Regions from separate parts of the Mus musculus genome. Here regions 2 and 3 are each reported to be linked to region 1. The links are microRNA targets in miRTarBase. Many come from high-throughput screens and were not tested one by one. Region 1 holds a microRNA gene; each other region holds the end of a gene's coding sequence.
The links. The annotated mature microRNA mmu-miR-425-5p reads AAUGACACGAUCACUCCCGUUGA and lies in region 1 at 5,913-5,935, opposite strand. An mRNA with a match to its seed (bases 2 to 7 or 8) in the 3' UTR can be bound and repressed. Matches are read on the target gene's strand: a 7mer-m8 pairs with bases 2 to 8, a 7mer-A1 pairs with bases 2 to 7 and ends in A, and an 8mer does both.

Region 1 (7,984 bases):
GGGGGAGGGCACCGCTCCTGGGCCTTTTCTGATACTGAGGCAGCCATGGCCTTTACCTACCTGAAGGATGGTGAGGTCATGCTCTATCGGGCTCTAGGTGGCTGCATCCGGCCCAATGTGATTCTCCGGGAGGGTCTGCATGGCCGTGAAATCACATGTGTAAAGCGTGTGGGCACAGTGACCCTGGGCCCTGAATTTGAGGTACCCAACTTGGAGCATCCTGACTCCCTGGAGCCTGGCAGTGAGGGGCCTGGTCTGATTGACATAGTGATAACAGGCAGTGAGGACACTACTGTCTGTGTCCTAGCACTTCCCACCACCACAGGCTCAGCCCACGCCCTCACTTCTGTCTGTAACCATATCTCCTCTGTGCGAGCCCTGGCAGTGTGGGCTGTTGGCACCCCAGGTGGCCCACAGGATACTCGACCAGGGCTCACTGCTCAGGTAGTGTCTGCAGGGGGCCGAGCGGAGATTCACTGCTTCAGCGTCATGGTCACTCCGGACGCTAGCACCCCCAGCCGCCTTGCCTGTCATGTCATGCACCTTTCATCCCACCGGCTGGATGAGTACTGGGACCGGCAGCGGAACAAGCACAAGATGATCAAGGTGGACCCTGAGACCAGGTAAGGCGGCCTCCCTGTCATGGGCGGGGCGTGAGAGGGTTATAGGAAAGTCCTGACTCCTGACTGCAGGCCCCACCTGACCGGTGTGTACCCCCTACAGGTACATGTCTCTTGCTATTTGTGAGCTTGACAACGATAGGCCTGGCCTCGGCCCTGGCCCCCTTGTGGCTGCAGCCTGTAGTGATGGAGCAGTGAGGTGAGCTCATAGGGCAGAGGAGGGGGAGGGGAGGGGGAGGGTGTGAGCTCTCCAGGACGGTTCCCAGACCACCACCCCTCCTCCTCGCCCCCAGGCTCTTTCTCCTGCAGGACTCTGGGCGAATTCTGCATCTCCTAGCTGAGTCTTTCCACCACAAGCGGTGTGTCCTCAAAGTCCACTCCTTCACACATGAGGCACCTAACCAGCGTCGGTGAGAGGCAGCCCTCTGTGGGTTGGGTAAGGGCTCCTGTTTTTCCATCCCTTTTACTGATCTGGCTGTCCTCTCCTGGCTTCCAGGAGGCTGATCCTGTGCAGTGCAGCTACAGATGGCAGCCTAGCCTTCTGGGATCTCACCACGGCAATGGACAAAGGCTCTACTACCCTGGAGCTTCCAGCACACCCTGGGCTTCCCTACCGTGAGTACCGTGACACCCCTCATTACCTCTCTCACAAGATAAAAGCGGGAGCTAACAGCCACTCTCTTCCTCCAGAGATGGGCACCCCCTCCATGACCGTGCAAGCCCATAGCTGTGGCGTCAATAGCCTGCACACTTTGCCTACACCTGAGGGCCACCACCTTGTGGCCAGTGGCAGTGAGGATGGGTCCCTGCATGTCTTCACACTTGCTGTGAAGATGCCAGAGCCGGAAGAAGCTGATGGGGAGGCTGAGCTGGTGCCCCAGTTATGTGTCCTAGAGGAATATTCCGTCCCCTGCGCACATGCTGCCCATGTGACAGGCGTCAAGATCCTAAGTCCCAAGCTCATGGTCTCAGCCTCCATAGACCAGCGGCTGACCTTCTGGCGTCTGGGACAGGGTGAGCCCACCTTCATGAATAGCACTGTGTACCATGTGCCAGATGTGGCCGACATGGACTGCTGGCCTGTGAGCCCTGAGTTTGGCCACCGCTGTGCTCTGGCAGGTCAGGGACTTGAGGTTTACAACTGGTATGACTGAGTTATCCCAGTGGGTGGAGAACTGAGCACAGGGCCTGACTGCAGACAGTAGAGCAGGGATCAGCTGTCTGTGTCACGCTCAGTGTGCTCTGGGGAGGCGAGGCAGTACCATAGTTCTCGCAAGTATTCCAGTAGGGTGTTGCATAGGAGGACCAAGAACACGCCTCACTCTCACAATAGGATGAAACTGTATTTATTCTGACTTTAAGTGCCCAACATCTGTGAGGTCTTGTTTCTTTCCCAGTTGATGCTTTTATAAACATTCCCAGTTATTGGGCCCTTAGATGTGGCTCAGCGGAGGGAGGCCCAGCATAGCCAAGCCTGTGTGGAACACCTCACGCACTGCCCTCAAAAGCTGTAGGCGAGCAAACATCTGACCAAAGAGGTGTGGCCGAGGTTCCTGAAAGAAAAGCAGCCAGGCGCATCCTCATTTCCCGTGTGCTCAGCCTTGCCCACATTTCCCGCAGACCCCCCTTGCTGTATGCTCACCCCTAGAATATGTACTCGGTTATAGTAGGAGCTGAAATCCATGCTGAGCTGCACCAGGAACTTGCATACCTAGAGACAGACGTTGAGTCGTTGAGCTGTTGTCTTTTTTCTTGTGTTACAACCCAGAATAAAGAATAATGTGTGAAATGTCTTCTGTGCCTTACCATCTCCGTGCGGACAGGGATGTGGAGGCCTGGGGTGCCGGCCAGACTCACAGTCTGGCTCAGCAGGTCCAGAAAGGGAAGGACACTGTTGAAAAGCAGCAGCCACTCACCCTGCGGGAGACAAGCGTGCTAGGAAGACAAGTCCAAGCCTTGTGGACGTTTATCAGGACCAACACTCACCTCATCATGGAGTAGTGAGAAGTCCAGACTGCTCACAAGCGGAAAAGTGGGATACAGACCTTGCTCCGTTCCATGTTTGTAGCCCTCGAAGAGTGTGGCAAGGCGGGCACAGTTATACATGACAAAAGTCCCGCTCTTTGTGCCCTTTGTTGAGATGGTGCTGTGGGCCAGGAGGAGCTGGGGAATGGTAACATAGCTGCAGAGGGCCTTGGCTCTGTACCTGCATCCTCCGTCCTGGTGTCGGGAGGCTTACCTGGCTCTGTGGGGCTGTGCTTAGCATCTCAAATTTGATGGTAGCCACGGAGAGGATGTCGAAGGTCTCAGTCCAGGCGGGGTCTGGGGTGCGAGAGAGGCTGGTCAGTGTCTGAAGACGAAGCACACAGGCCAGAGGTGTGCGTGACCTGCTTCCACCTCAGCGCACACGCAGGATCTCCCAGGTGTACCTTGTGCCAGGTCTCCTCCGTGCTTCAGAGCTGAGGCCTCGCACACCTGAGCATGTCTGAGCCTAGAAAAGCGAGCCAGTAAGCAAGGTCTCAGTGAAAGCTGTCCCTACCTTTACGCTGTTGGTGGCTGTGGATGGCATCCCTTTCATACTCACCTGTAGTACTGAGGGGCAGTCAGCTGGGTGCCGGGTACACCAGCCATTTTCACGGGACCACACACCAGGTGTTTCTGTGAAAGACTGGAAGGGCTCAGCCCAGTTGGCACTACCCTCCCCGCTTCAGGGAACTATATCAGTTGCTTTTCTACCTTGGTTTTCCCAATCTGTAACCACCAGCCTTCCTTCGTACCTCCTCAAGACACCATCATCCTTTTTCTTAAGACTACATAGTCACAGGACATTTGCACTTGTAGCACGGGTGCCTATGGTCACATCAGTCTCTAAACCCCATGGTATTCCAGGCCTGAGGTCGGAGGTGGTTTGGTTAACTTTGGTAACCAACCTGCTTGTGAGGAGCCCGGTCATCCAATTTCTGCCAGAGCAAATCCAGCTTTTGTTGCTGGAATGCCTCTTCACAGCTAACCACGTGTATAACCACGCAGTCATCTACACCAGCATCTGGACGCCCAGCCTGAGGAGAGATGGGGCAGTTACTACAAAGATACAAAAATCCAGTTTGGGCAGAGGTCAAGGCAGCCACTCACCGGGCCTGGGTGGCCGCCCTCTGGCCAGTGGCGCACAGCCTCCTGCAGCTCCGAGAGCACAGAGAGCACATCTTCAGTCACTACAGAAAACAAGAGGTGTTGAAGTGCCTGGCAGTGCAGAGACACAACCCCACCCATGTTCTGCCGTTTGTCCTACCCAAACAGTGGTCTATGCTGGGGTCATAGCCAGCAGTGCCTCTCTGTTCTACCAGTTCCTTCAGACACAGTCGGCCTAGGACGCCAGGGGGCAGCGTCGCTTCCTTAGAACCATTAAGGTTTGCAAGAACACAGGTTCTCAGTGTTTCGGTCGAGGTGCTCTTCGAGGCAGTGGGCCATTCCACCCGAAGTTTCTGGAGGAAAGTTGACATGTGAGGGTCCCGCACCGGGGGCACTGAGCACACACGTACCCTGCAAAGCAAGGGAGGCTGTCTCAGCCTGCGGACCAGGCTTAGATTATCATGACTCCCACCTTTTCTATCCCCAAATGTTCGGTCTTTTGCCATTATAGCTTCGAACACGCACTTACCCATGAGCACGCAGTACCCGTACTAGATGATCGGCTACGAGCACGGCACGCAGCTGGCTCAATCGGAGCGTCCCCGAATTACAGCGCAGTGCTGGGCAGTGTAGGACAACTCGCGGGCCTGGTGAGGCAGGTTTGGCGGGAGTAGCATAGGAGGCCAGGGCACCGAGTACATGTTCGAAGACAGCGGGCCGCTGTAGTTGGAGCGATAAACCCGCGGGTGTCGGCGCGCAGCGCAGTACAGGGGCCACTCCGGGACCCTGCAGGCAGGAGACCGCACGGAACACGCACTCTGGCACCTGCAGGCAGATGTGTGTAAGTGGGCCGTAGTTCCGTGGATCCCGCTAGGCATGCCCCACAGGAGCGCACCCACCTGGCCGTCCCTGAAGCGCGCCTGTAGCGCGCTTCGCGGTGCCAAGAAGTCTCGAACACGAAGGTGCCGGGCATGGGTTTCCTTAAACCACACTGGGCTACCAGGCCCTACAGCTGCATTAAGGGCCTCCAGCGTCTCGCCAACCCCAAGGCGCCCGGTCGCCATGGCGACCGGAAGACTAAATGGAACAGGAAGTAAGTTATCCGTAGAGCTTCCGGGAGGTCCGCCTGGCGGGGGCGGGGATCCGGCCGTGGACTCTCCTGAATGGACCAGAGCGATCGAGCATGCCAAGTGAGCTTACATTCTACCCACGCCTCCAGCTCTCCCTCCCGATGGCCTTTCCTGTATTCATGAGCCCTAACCTCCAAATTTGAGGGTCCATTTTTCCTCCTTTTTAAAAAAATCGTCACCCCGAATTATTACTTTGATAACGGATCTTTGTTACCAGGCAAGACACTTTGCCACCAAAGTTTCACATCTTTGTGTTTATGTCTCTTTTTTCTTTTTCTGCCCCATTTAAACAAATTAAAGGCCAGACGCACGAGACGAAATGTCAAAGGAATAAGGCTGTACCATTAATGACACTTTGTTTTTCAAGACAGGGTTTCACTGTGTAGCCATGGCTGTCCTGGAACTCTTTGTAGACCAGAAAGTCCTTGAACTCAGAAATCCACCTGCCTCTGCCTCCTGAGTACTGGGATTAAAGGTGTGTGCCACCACTCGTGTCTTCCATTAAAGACTCTTTACCGCCTACTTGGAAAAGTAACGAAACAAAGCAAAATTTGAGTTCTGATTATTGGTACGCCTTTCCTCGGCTGCGGTATGGAATGTCTTTATTCCCAGTAAAAGCCCAATCGGATAGAATTGCCCATCTTGATACCCGAGGAATTAGTCATCATGATTCCAGGATTACCAGCCTTTAATGTTTTTCCTTTAAACTGGTGTTACCGGCACCTTTGGTTCTTTAGGCAACTGGTCAGTTTAAGACAAATGTGATGATGAGAAGACCCAAATAAGCAGAGCTCTCAGGTAGAGCAAGCTGCAGGTGAGCTTTTCTATGTCCAAACTCTTTCGTTTCCAAGTAACGTGAAACTCCACTTCCCCCAGTAATGAATGAATCCAACCGGTGAACTTTGCTCCGGAGAGGAGTGACATCTAGAGATAGGAAAAGTTCGGGAAGGCCGGGGCTATGAGGCCCTGTTTGGGAGGTGCCGAAAGAGCACTGGGCGGACACGACATTCCCGATGGCTTCTTGGGTGCCCACTCAACGGGAGTGATCGTGTCATTCCAAAGCACTTTCCATGCTGTGGTGTGGGTTCAGCTGCTAGCAGGGCTGGGACCCACCAGCAAGTTGGTGATTTTAGCTACTCTCCCTCCATGAAGACGGTTGGGGTGGGTTTTCCCCAGGAAGTGAAGATCTATCTTTAGCGAGCTGCGGGCTGGGCGGCCTTGTGGGACTCACCGCCATTGCGGCCCTTCAGAGAGAGGACCCAGGACCTCCCTGGTCAGAGTTCTCCAGGGATTCCAGACAGGGCCATCAGCCCGAGCTTTTTTCGTCGCCTCTGACTGCCACCATCAGTCTGGGGGTGCACCTGAGAGATGGAGATCAGAATGGCCCAGTAGTGTAGTGTTTCTGAGAATAGAGACCACATTATCTGGGCCAGGGCGCTGCTCAGGCAGGAGAGCAGGGAACGAAATCCAAGTGCAGCTGGAATGCTCTGGAGACAACAGCTGCTTTTGGGATTCCGTTGCCCGCTGTCCAGCCATTGGAGGAGGGCTCTTGCTCCCAGGTCACTCGCCCTGAGGCCAAACCGGAACCCGCCCATCCCTTCCCAGTGGGCTGAGTAGGAAGGAGTAGGTGTTTTAAACCAGTCTAGTGAGAATGAGACGCTCACCTGGGCCCCAGAACAATAGAAGGTGGGGGCATCCCCCGGGACGAGGTCCTGATCCGGATTAGATCAGAAGGGCTGGATTAGCCCTGTGAGTCCCAAGCAGGAGCCACTTGTACCGGGCAGGCTTCGGAATCCGTCAAGAGGGAAGCGATTCCGTGAGACCCGAGAGGAAGTAAACCCATGTGTCCACTTCTGGGACTCCCCAAAGCTTAGGACCTTTTGTCTGGTGACGGTGCCAGCTCATGAAGTGCCAGGGGCCAAACTGGCCCACATAGCAGCGGCAGGACAGCCTCCCCCCAAGCCCATTGCAACCGGCCCTGCAAAGAACCCCACAGCCAAGCCCCATTTGTGTCAAGCATCCCACCCGTCTAGTCCAGCGGATAGAGAACGCGACAAAGTTCCTCTGAGGCCAGGACAGAACCGGTGCGCAGAGATGCCCATGCCGCGGGACGCCAAGGACTCATGCGCCAGTAGGCCCTAGACTCAGCTCAAGACAGGGGGAGGGAGACTCTCGGTACGCGCGCGCAGAGCGCGCAAGGGCGGGGTGGTGCTCCAGGCGCGGTCTACTTCACGTCTGGTCCGGTTTGGCCCAGTCAGTCCCACTCGAACAGCTACTCCAGCACTGCCACGGCGTGCCCTTCCGCTGGCTCTAGCTGTCCCCAGACTTGGAGCCATTTTAAGGAGAAACCATCTGGCCACACCCCCTCGCGCTGCCGGGAAGCCAATCCATGCTCGGCCACGCCTCTCATGGAGCGCTGCGCCGTCGCCAACGGTCGCGCTGGTGACGGTTGGGGAAAGCAGCGATTTCGAGACTAGCTAGGGAAATTTTAGCCATCTGCCCCGCCCCCGGAGCCCGATTCTCCAAAGCCTGGGATTAAGGGCCTGGAGGCTGGCACCACACCCTGGCCAGGTGTTCATAACAGGACCAGGTGCGCAGCTGCCCCGCCCTGGTCCCTGGGAGCCCGAATAATGGCTGAGAATCCCAGGAACAGGCCGCGGCAGTGGCCTAAACAATACCCTTAGGGCGCCCGTACTAGCAGGTGTTTTTCCCCCTCCTCCTTAGGGACTGTCGCTGGAGGCATGGGGCGGGGTGGGCGACAGGTGCTGACACACCCGCATGGGGAGACAGAGGCTCTGCATTGGCCTACTGCGCCGTTCAAGGTGCGCGGTGCCCTCCGGGACGCAAGGGGCGCTGTGGCTACTTTGAGACAGACAACTCTGTCCCTACGACCGGGTCGTTAAGCGCCGTTGCAGCCATGGCTACTGCTCTAGGATTTCGCTGCCTTTTCCGAACGCGACCTGCGCCGCTCTGTCGGCACGTCGACCGGCTGTGGTGAGCATCCCCTGTCCAGCCTCTGACCACTTGGCCTCGGACCTTTCAATCCCGCATAGTCCGGCCGGGCCACGACTTCCTGACTTTAGCCCTCCGCAGGAGGAACCCGCG
Region 2 (5,334 bases), not on the chromosome of region 1:
CAGTCTGCGTGCACCCAGATGGCCTTCAGCTTATACTGCTCACCCCGGTCAGACAGACCACCTCTCTTAGGAGTGTGGTGGGCAGCAGCAGTACTCACCTCCTTGAGTGGTACAGCATGTGCCACTGCCATAGCTTCCTCCACTGGAGAGGCAACAGAGGTTACCCCTAGGGTTTGTCTGGTTTTGAACAGGATACTAACGTAGCGTGTCAGTGTTTAGTTGATAGAAAGCAAAGCCTCTGACGCTGTTTCGTTAAGTACTGCTGCTGTGATGCTGACTCAGACTGCAAAGGACAAGAACCCAGTGCCCACAGGGTGATGGTGATGAGCTTCCCTCGGTAGTGTCCTAGCTCATCTAAGGCTTGTTTTATTTGCTTTTTTTTTTACAGACCTAACTACCGTAATGAATGCTGCATATTGAGAGACACCACAAGAAGGTTAACTGTTTGATTGTCTAATTCTTGGATTTGGATTTGATATGAACCAACGGTCTTTGTTGTCATTGACAGAGCCCCAGTATGTGTGTGCATTAGTCACATTCCTCTCTGTTCTGTTGAAGGAAAAAGAGACATTTTAACCCTTTTAAGGTTGACTTTATTTTATGTTATTTGGTTGCATGAAGTTGCCCTTAATCACTAAGAATGATGAAGATTTTGCAGACTTCTCTGTGTCTAGGCTCCTTTTCCAAGTCATCAGCTTCCTGCCTCTCTCCCACCATCATCAGATACTCAGCTAAACAGTAATTCATATTGTTAGGTGACTGCTCAACATAATACTTCAGGATGGGATTTTCTTTGTAGCAGAACCCAAGAACCAACTCCTAGATACATACTGTTGGTGTATTGGAGATGAAGTTAGAGTCATCTTTCAGTTTTAAGGCCATGTGTAAAGTTTAACCATATGTACAATACCTATTCTGTATTAGAAATAGCTAGTTGAAACTTAATACTTCTCAAAACTCATGTTCCTGTGTCCACAAACTAAGTTTATATGTGAACTTACTGAGTCTTTTTGTGTCATACCAAAATAAAGCAAGGACTTATTTTTTTTCCCAAAGCCAATACAATTTGAGCCAATCCCTCAAGATGGTCACTTTACACTGAAAGCTGAGCTCAGCAGGAGCACTGTGGGAAACAAAGCATTGACTCTTGAGTACAGAGTTTAAAATAGACTTTTCTTTTAGAACTAGAATTAGAGTAGTTAACGTTCATCCGCCAACCATTGTTACGTGTGCATTACTGTCGCTCTTGTGGTGATAGAGTCTTATTTATTTTTATGCCAGCTTATACTGTGAGAACTCATTAGTCAGTTTGGGTCTCATCAACCCTGCTATGCTTGTCCTTGGAAGATCTTTTGTGTGTGTTTGAGGTTTGTAGCTGAGAAGTTTACTGTAAAAAAAAAAAATCAAAAACAAAAAAATGTATTGTTTTTACAGAATAAATTTATTGGAATGTGTACTGGGAGTAAGGTTTGAGGTTATAAACAGCCGAGTTAGTGTTATTTGGCTTCATATGTGTAATGTGAAGTATTAATGTGTTTCTTGTATTATAGCAAAGATTGACAGCAAATTGACATTAGAATTAAGTGCAGGTGAAAATTTTATTTTTTCTATCATGTTTCTTTTTAAGTATTCTGGATGTTAGGTTAAGTGAAAGCCGTGGGGGGACAGGAGGGAGCAACAGCAGGAGCTGCAGCAGCAGGGGCTGTCTGCACGTCTGCGACAGCCCAGCTCAGGGGACCCTGCATTTACACACAGCCTTCCGTGCATCCAGTTTGCTTTTGGTGTTCTTACTGTGTTGAAGAACTAATGAACGTGAAGAGAAAATAGAAGAAGACCTAAGAGCCCAGTGTCGTTGTGAAGATGGAGGTGATGTGGGGCTCTGGATGCACTGGTCTACTCACCCCTCCCTCCAGGACATCACTGTCCTTTGGGCTTGCTCCTGCCGGTTAGCAATCAGTGGTCCCCTGTTGTGCTCACGCAGTTCCATGTATGGAAAATTCATTAAGAGACAGGCTGTTAAGTCAGGGTTTTTTCTTTAAAAGGTACTTTTTAATTTTAAATATTTTAGTTTAAAATAATGAAATTTGACAAAAGATCTCTTCATTATCATGCAAAACATATGGAGAATGTAGATAGCATTTTTAAATTGGAACATATAACAAAGGTTTTTTTGTTTGTTTGTTTGTTTGAGGCAGGGTTTCTCTGTGTAGCCCTGATTATCCTGGAACTCACTCTGTAGACCAGGCTAGCCTGGAACTCAAAAGATCAGCCTGTCTCTGAATCCCAAGTGCAAGGATTAAAGGCGTGTGCTACCACTACCTGGCACAGATTTCTTAAATAAAAAGTTCAAAATTTGTCATGAAAATGTATATATAAAATGCTTCAAAATTAATAAAGTTTATCTTCATAAACACCAAAAATAATTTTATTGAAGGTATACACAGTATTGAAGGTATACACAGAAACACAAGAGAAATATTATCAACCAATAAAACAAGTGTTCATTAAGGCAACTAATAAAGTTGATTTGTGTCATCTTAGCTATTCAAATTCACAATAGAAGTTTTGACAGCAATTTTTAAAATGGCAATAAATAATATGCTTTCCTTGTGAAAACACTTGAATCAATTTAAAAATATTGTGATGATCTGGCATTTATATTAAGATTGTCAACAACTCATACATTTCATATGAAGCCATTTCTCCAACCTGCAATTGCTGTTTTGAATTATTTCTTATGCATAGTATGGTTAGTTACTTCTGAATAGTTTCATTTTTATGCTTTTTGTAGGCACTAGAGTTGTAATTTTCACACATACTATGTGCAAACAATGCTAAAATCAATGGTCACATTCATAGACAAATGGTGATATATTTCCTTAAAAAAGCTGTTTCTCAACTTTAATTTTCTTTCAAAACTGAGAATATACCCAGATACTACCCTTAGTTTCACTCACATGTATGCTGCAGAACAAGTGTGTTCTTGTGAGTATTCCTGTATGGAGGGGATAAAGGAGAGCGCCAGTCCCATTAACAGGTCAGAGAGAACTGTGAGGTATGTTTGTTTATTCCAACTTCTCATCTGCCTTAGTTCTTAGGAAGAACTCGGGATTGTAGGTACAACGGTAGGCCAAGAGCTGAGGAAGAACTCCATATGCTATGTTTAGTGCTAGAAAAAAGATTTTCGCTTCTTCGGGGACTCTGTAGACATAAGCAGTTCTAGCATGAAGGGACGCACCAATGTGAGAAAACTGAGCCTGTTTATATTAAAACAAAACAAAAAAACAGTAAGGATGAGCTCTGTTCACTTGGATTAATGATGAATTCTGAGTGTCTCATTCAGACCATGTGCCCTCAAAACCTGTCTTAAAGGCAAAATACCTTTAGGTAATCCAGTCTTAATATATAATCTTTCACTAAATTTAAGGTTGTTCTTGATATAAGTATTCAAATAATGTATCCTTCTTAAAGTGTGATTTTATTATTCCAGTTGTGTATTTTTAACCTATCCTGTGCCAAATAACAAACAATACTGGCTCAATTCAACAACAACAACAACAAAATCTCCCCCTCTTTCTAATTTGAATCTTAGGAACACTAACTATATAGACACTCAGCAAGGTCTCACAAATTGGGTTTGAATTACAAATGAAGTTGGGTTTTAACATTTAAGCTGTAATTAGTATGAGGAGCTACTTTAGAGAGAAGCACTAAGGGTCTCAGACCAACCACTGGATGCCAGAGCTCAGAGACCATCACATGTACTGCTTATTCATCCGTGTGTTTGGTTTTATGTAACTTAATAGCACTATGATTGTTTGTAAGGTAAGCTTGTTAATAGCTTGGCTGTGGATAGCAATATGATTATAAAATGGCAAATATATACACAGGCAGCCTTTCCAAATCAGACTGAAATCTACTTAGAATTGTGACTGGTCAGCATGTTTGAAGTTTCAGAACAGAACAGCAAGGGCTCCCTCTGTTTACATGGGATAGTTTATAAACTATTCAGAATGTGCCAGTTGAATTTTGCTTGGCTCATTTGTTTTTTGTACTTTTCATAAGCACAGAGAAAAACTATTAGAAAAGTAATACAGGCCATAGCAGAATTGAAAACCGACAGAGTATTTTTCTCAGAAAACTTGTTATTATAAAATGCAAACCCCAAGTCTGCACTTTTATGTTTGCCTGAAATTCAAGATACACAGAAATAAAGACTAAAGATTTAAATGTAGTTAAATGGCAGATTATCAGTATACTATGATCAAAGTGAGACGATAAAGGATCCTGCAATCTAAAGAGACAGAAGTAACAGTGAATCACTAGAGAGTGTGTTCTTAATGTATTGTTACCTTATATGTCCTTCCATATGATCAATTGAGAGTGCTAAGTGCTAACAGATAAAAGTGCTACTTGGCATTTGATGTGACCTTGGCAAAGAAAAGAGCATGTTTAGGAATTTGTATAAATGGCAGATATTTTAATGGGCTACAATTTATAAATTACTGATATATTCCGGATACTTTTACTACTCTGGAAATAAAAATTAAATTCCTGATGTGTGTTGACAAGGACCAACAAGTGGCTTACCCACACTGTGATTCTCCTCGGGCACTGAGAAGGTTCTGCCCGCAGACACACTCCCTAGGGCACAAAGCCAAAGGCCCAGCAAATGAGTGCATCTCAAGGCTACACAGACAGAGTCCTTGAGAATAAAGGGCACTTTGGAAGCTGCCCAGAAGAGACACTGCTGTGAACAGTCTGGGGACTCTGGCAGAAGCCTTGACTCCTGACACTTGTTCTCTGGGCCCTGCTTTAGCTGTTTTTTTGAACATACAACAATTTTCTTCTGGACTAGAGGCCAGTTTTGAACCCTGGTTTTGTCAGACTTGTGGGTTTAGTGATTCTATCCTTAGAGATTATTGTGCTCATCATAAAATGACAGAAAAATACTACCCACAATTCCCAAGAATAAGTAACATGAGCAGCTGGGTGTACCTATATAGGTAAACCTGTATGAAAGGTCAGTGATTGTGTGGGCCCTTCTCTGCACTGAACAGTGCAGTTAATACCTCATTCTCGTGAACAGGAAGGTCATGACAACATTCAAAAAAATGATGCGTCCTTAGATTAGATTGTACGCCCACTGGGCAGATACTGTGTCTAATGTTTTGTGTGGCACCTATCACGTTGTTAGAGTTCAATAAACATTCAACAACAATGCTCTTGTGACTGTCAGAATACAAAAAGAATCTTGAAAGCATTTTTCCTATACCAGTAGTAGTAGTAGTAGGACATTACACTCAGAATTATTAATAAGGGGTGAAGATCATA
Region 3 (5,334 bases), not on the chromosome of region 1:
GGGCCTCAGGAAAGGGTCACTCATCACTGACCTCACACCCTGCTCCCTGCCCCCAGTGTTCTGACTCTCCTACTCTTTGATTGAGTGGGGAGCAAGAGGCCTAGATCCAGGTCAGTCCATGGGCTGCATTCTTCAAGTGTTAATGATCTCTGAGCTGGGCAGGAGCTCAGTCCCCAATCCAGCTAAAAACAACAAACAGTTCCCAGGAGGGATTTGTGTATGTCCTGAGAGTCAAGGATTGCTGTTCCGATGGGGGCTGTGTAGCCCATCCGAGCTCTTACAAAGAAATTCCCCAGAGACCAGTAGCCTCCTGACCTCAAGGTACCACTTTGAATAGAGACCCCATCCCCTCCCTCTTTCCTATTCCCTCTTCATCCATTCCAAGGGGGCCCAGGGCTTGGCCTCCTACCCACACCCCAGATAATTAGGAGGCATGAGAGAAGGATCTGTTGCCTTCCCCACCAGTGAGTTGGCATTTGGTAGGTAAGTGCACCAAGTCTCTGTTCAGTTGAGTTCAGTTGGCAAAGTAATGAAACCAACTTTTAAAAAACAAGGGGGCTGGACATAGTGGTGAATGCCTTTAATCTCAGAGACAGGTGAGTCTCTATGAGTTGAGGCTAGCCTGGTCTACATAGTGAGTTCCAGGACAACCAGGGCTAAATATATATATAGAGAGAACCTGTCTCAAAAAAATGAGCAAACTAAAAGCTGCTGCTGCTGCTGCTGCTGCTGCTGCTGCTGCTGCTGCTGCTGCTGCTGCTGCTACTACTACTACTACTACTACTACTACTACTACTACTACTATTACTACTAATACTAATCAGGTTGTTCTGGGTCATGCTTATAAATCCCAGTACTGGAGTAGAGACAGGCAGATCCTGGGGTTTGCTCATGCCAGTTCAGCCAATTTGATAAACTTTAGGACAGCGAGAGACCTCAAAATCAAGGTGGATGGCTCCCGAGGAATGATACCCAAAGGTGACCTTTGGCCTCCATTCACATGTGTACACATATGTGCACCTGAATACTCCCAAACAAAAAAGTACTTACAACAGCCACTGGCCATGCTGGGACCAGCATCTGCCTACCAAATGCTTTCTCTCCATATCAGCTTCCTTCTCTGCAGGGCTGAAAGATGCTCAGTAGTCCCATAGGAGAGGGCAGGCCTCCCATATGGACTTCTAGGGGGCAGTTTGGGAGGGAAACCAGGTCTATCAGGTGATAGGGTTACTAATGCTGTGATGAGACACCATGACAAAAAGCAAGTTGGGGTGGAAAGGGTTTATTTGGCTTACTCTCCCACATCACAGGTTCCTACTGAAGACAGGACAGGAACCTGGAGGCAGGAGCTGAAGCAGAAGTCATGGAGGGATGTTCCTTACTGGCTTGCTCCCCATGGCTTGCTCAGCCTGCTTTCTTATAGCACCCAGGACCATCAGCCCAGGTATAGCACCACCCACATGGACTGGGTCCTCCCATATCAATCACTAATTAAGAAAATATCCTACACACCATCTTAATTTTCTCAATTATAGTTCCCCATCTCTCATATTACTATGGTTATGTCAAGTTGACATAAAAACTACCCAACACATGAGGGGCTCTGAGAGAGTTGGGAGGGGGCAGAGTTCTAGGATTGAGACCATACACACAGAAGACATCATATCTGTAGTTGGCTGAGATCCCTCATAGGTCTCCAAGCCATAGGCAGGCTATGGTGGTCCCCTCTCCTTCACCCTCCAGCTGAAATCTTAGAGCATTCCAGTTCCTTAGGGTTAGCCTCTTCAGCAACCACTCAGCCATAGGACTTCTTTTGTGGGTGGGGGTCAGGGGGCTGGGGACTCACATGCTATGGTGCACATGAGAGGACACACAGCAATCAGATGACAACTTTCAGGAATCAATTCTCTCCTTCCGCCATGGGTTCTGAAGACTGAATCAGTGGCCCTGGCTTGCAAAGCAATGCTCTTCCCTGGCTGAGCCATTTAAGCCAATCCTCTTCTGTGGTTCCAAGTCTTCTTTTACCAGCTCCCTGCCCTCATATGTCCTCCTCTTTTCTTTCACCCTTTCCTCTGGGCCTTTCCTGAACCCCGGGCATGTGCCTTCCTTTGGGAACTCTTCCGCAGAGTCCCTAGCTGCCTTTACTTAATCCCTCTGTGTTTCTTCATTCCTTTCCTCCCATTGCCCTATAATTCACAAAGCCACACCTGTGTGTTTTAAATTCATGTTTATTGCCCACAGCCCGTTAGTATGACATAAATCACATACATTGAGACATTTTCTGAGGTTAAAAAGTCTGAAGTCCCTAGGTATGCTGAGGCATACGTGTTGAGCCTCACTCATACCTGCCCAAGGCTGGAAGCTTAGCATGGACCTGCCTCCCACTGGCCCCTCTCCTCAGTGCCCCACCCTTCCCCAGACCAGAGACTTTCATAAGACAGCCACAATTAGGAAATGAGACAGAGTGCAGACATCTTGGTTCGGTGGCCATTTGGCATCTTGGACTTTTGGTTCCTGTACTCCCAAATTGCTTTCCAGAGATGGAAGAGCATCCTTCAGGGAATGTTTAAAAGTTATCAGAGGAGAGTTGGCCAGGAACATCAGAGCTGGAGAGCCTGCTGTAGATTTGCCCTGACTGCTGGAAAAACCACACCCAACGAGAGGTAATTTGCCCCCTTTCCTCCAGGCCTCTTTCTGTCCCCTAGCCTCAGCAAATAGGGACATTTGCATTCACAGAAAGCTTCCCTTATGGATTTTTATGAAGTCAAAACAGGGTTTAACAGCATGGCTCAAGACGCTCAGCCACCATCACTGTGGGCCACAAGGACCATCTGTCACAGCAAATCCAAAGGAGTTGCCCCCTCAGCTCACCTGGGCTCAGGGTGTATTGGAGCATGGCAGAAATCACTCCACACACAAAACACACCTACGAGGGGTACTGAGGCCATGGGGACAGCCAGCACAGAGGGCGAGCTGGAAGAACCTCTGGAGCAGGCAGGCCTGGGGGAGGGAGGTTTTGGTCCCAAGATAAATGCATAAGGACAAGGCTCCAGGACAAGTGGGGACAAAAAAAAAAAAAAAAAAAAAAAAAAAAGCTGAGAATGAACTTTTCAAAAGAGGCTTCAGCAAACAGATCTAGTGTCCAGCCAAGGCCTGGAGCCCAATACCCATGCTCAGCCCATCTTGCTACAGCTACACCTGCCTTAAGATGCTGGCAGGGAACCTGTGACCTTGTCCTTGCTGCCTCGCGCCAGCCTTTTTCTGCAACCATACATGTTGATCTTCAGCCTGACCCCTCCTGTGTCAGATTCCAGGGTCATGAGCCAGGGTTCCCATCCTAGGGTGGACAGATGAGGGCTGTGTAGAGATCAGTGTATCTCCTCTCTGTGGGTCCTTTGGACCAGGAGTCACCCTGTTCAGCTCACCCAGACCCTGCCTCCTTAGGTAGAGCTATCTCTTCCTCTGTGGCCTACACGTGACGAGATGGAGCCAGCAGCAAGAGGCCCCAAGTCTGCAGCAGTGAGGAAGGGCATGCCGTGTGACCCCTAAGCTCAGCTCAGGCATCCATACTGCCTCCTCCACAGCCAGGAAGGGTTTGGCACAAGTCAAGGTTTTTTAGGATGTAGGGGAGTCCACACAGAAGGACAAGGTGCTTTTGTAGGCTAAGTGCTGGCCATTTCCAGAATGGCCTGATGCACTTTCCAGTCCAGAATCCACCTTTGAGATGCCTGGAATGTGCACATCTGAGTGAAGCAGGTAGAGAGGAGCCCCAGGCTTGTGGGGAACCCAAGTTCAGTCCTTCGCTTCCAGGCAGGGAATGGAAGCTCGGAGATGTGGGTGGCTTGTCCATTGCTGAGGCGACCTCTCAGGCAGTTGCACCCTCAGGATCCGGCCTTGCACCCTCAGGCAGGAGACTCCTCTATTGCAGAAAGGTGTGGGTTGTGACAGCTTCAGTGGCTGCAGACTGGACCACAGTGGGCTCAGCCCACCTTTGTCCCCGTAGGAAACTCTAGCTACTTGTGGAAAAGAACCCTCCTGCAAAGCCCAGGCAGGATCCTCTCTCCTTGTTCCCACAGAACAGTGTTGCTTCTTGGGGATCCCTGACTAGAGCTGGGCTACTCTCAGGGACCTGGAATCAATAAGAGCTCCATGAAAGATGACCCGTGCCTGGGGTCATCTGACTTTCCCTCAGCTGTGGGGTGGGTAGGAGCTGGGTACATTCAGAGCCTGGTGTTCCCGGAATCTTCCAAGGGGTCTCTAGTGCTCTTTGATAGAGAAAGCCAATTCCCAAAAACCTTGGTTCATCCTGTGGGGTGCAGACCACCTCCCTTCCCTTCCCTTCTCTAACCCGAGGGGCCCACCAGGCCTAACCATTATACTCCCCTCCCATCAATGCAAACCAGTTCCCATGCTCCTCTGGCTCCCGCCACCTGTCCTGCTACTTTTGGTCAGCTGCAACCAAGGCTCAGACTTGCTTCTAATAAAAAAAAAATTAAAACAAACCGAAAAAAAAAAAAAAAAGAACATATAAAAGGATACTACTTCTACCCCAGAAGCACTCTACAGTTCTTTAGCTCACACGAAATTGTGCTGAGTGGAGTTTAGCTGACCCCATGTAAGGCCCAGAGATGCACTTGATTCTTTTTGTGTAGGAAATGTGTCAGAATTCCTCTCCCCTATGTTAAAATGTGAATGGTTAGTCTCCCTACTGACGGAGGTTGGCTGCTTTCCAGGCAGCCCCTCCTTGCAGAGACAGCTCAAGAGACTTCTCTCCCCACCCCGAACGCCCGGCCTGGATAGTGCTGTGTGCCCAGGCCGGCTGGTCTTCACTCACAGCCCCTTATTGTACACCACTGTCCGGCTGCTGGTAGCCCGGGCTATCTCAGGCTCCAATTGGGAGGTTTCAATCTGAGGAGAGAAAGAGAAGAGTGCAGAGCTGGGGAGTGCCAGGGCAGTGGCTCTAAGGCCTGACCTGGTACCTACAGTTCTTTTCCTCTGCATGTCCCCTAGCCGGTACCTCTATGTCCTAGCAAGAGATATGCGTGCTTTCTCTTCTATCAGCTCACGATTAGCCTCTTTCTTGTCTACATTCTGGGTTTCCCTCATTGGAAATACCCTAGTTCCTCTTACTGCAGGCACATTTGAGGACCCATTGTCTAGTCCTCCTTAAGCCTTTTCCCTGGCAGTACCCCATTCTCTGCTCTCCTGGACCAATAATACTGCAGGTCTCAGATACTCTGTCACACACACACACACACACACACACACACACACACACACACACACACACCAACTCAGGTCTCAGGGACCATTACTTCAGCTCTTTCCCAGCCT

Region 2: the mRNA of Hdgfl3 is a reported target of mmu-miR-425-5p. Seed matches in the 3' UTR shown: 8mer at 1,013-1,020 and 7mer-m8 at 2,530-2,536.
Region 3: miRTarBase lists Sfxn5 as a target of mmu-miR-425-5p. Seed matches in the 3' UTR shown: 7mer-A1 at 2,250-2,256.

Annotation. Positions count from the first base shown.
Region 1 is chr9:108,566,740-108,574,723 of GRCm38, reverse strand. It overlaps Mir425 (microRNA 425), which reads right to left and starts at 5,947; the gene lies at 5,863-5,947. Dalrd3 (DALR anticodon binding domain containing 3) reads right to left here and starts at 4,832. Exons shown (of 12, transcript NM_026378.3): 1 at 4,649-4,832; 2 at 4,279-4,574; 3 at 3,910-4,160; 4 at 3,753-3,832; 5 at 3,551-3,679; 6 at 3,205-3,278; 7 at 3,050-3,111; 8 at 2,860-2,942; 9 at 2,607-2,783; 10 at 2,427-2,537; 11 at 2,263-2,331; 12 at 1,953-2,173. The coding sequence starts at 4,813. The coding sequence ends at 2,054. It overlaps Mir191 (microRNA 191), which reads right to left and starts at 6,405; the gene lies at 6,332-6,405. Ndufaf3 (NADH:ubiquinone oxidoreductase complex assembly factor 3) reads left to right here and starts at 7,288. Exons shown (of 5, transcript NM_023247.2): 1 at 7,288-7,873; 2 at 7,973-7,984. The coding sequence starts at 7,797. It also overlaps Wdr6.
Region 2 is chr7:81,881,138-81,886,471 of GRCm38, reverse strand. Hdgfl3 (HDGF like 3) reads left to right here. Exons shown (of 6, transcript NM_013886.4): 6 at 389-5,216. The coding sequence ends at 394. It overlaps Tm6sf1 (transmembrane 6 superfamily member 1), which reads right to left. Exons shown (of 10, transcript NM_145375.4): 10 at 2,393-3,257. The coding sequence ends at 3,066. Among named protein-coding and RNA genes, the nearest start is that of Tm6sf1, 25 kb to the right of the region's middle.
Region 3 is chr6:85,210,839-85,216,172 of GRCm38, forward strand. It overlaps Sfxn5 (sideroflexin 5), which reads right to left. Exons shown (of 14, transcript NM_178639.4): 14 at 2,213-4,908. The coding sequence ends at 4,831. Among named protein-coding and RNA genes, the nearest start is that of Emx1, 26 kb to the left of the region's middle.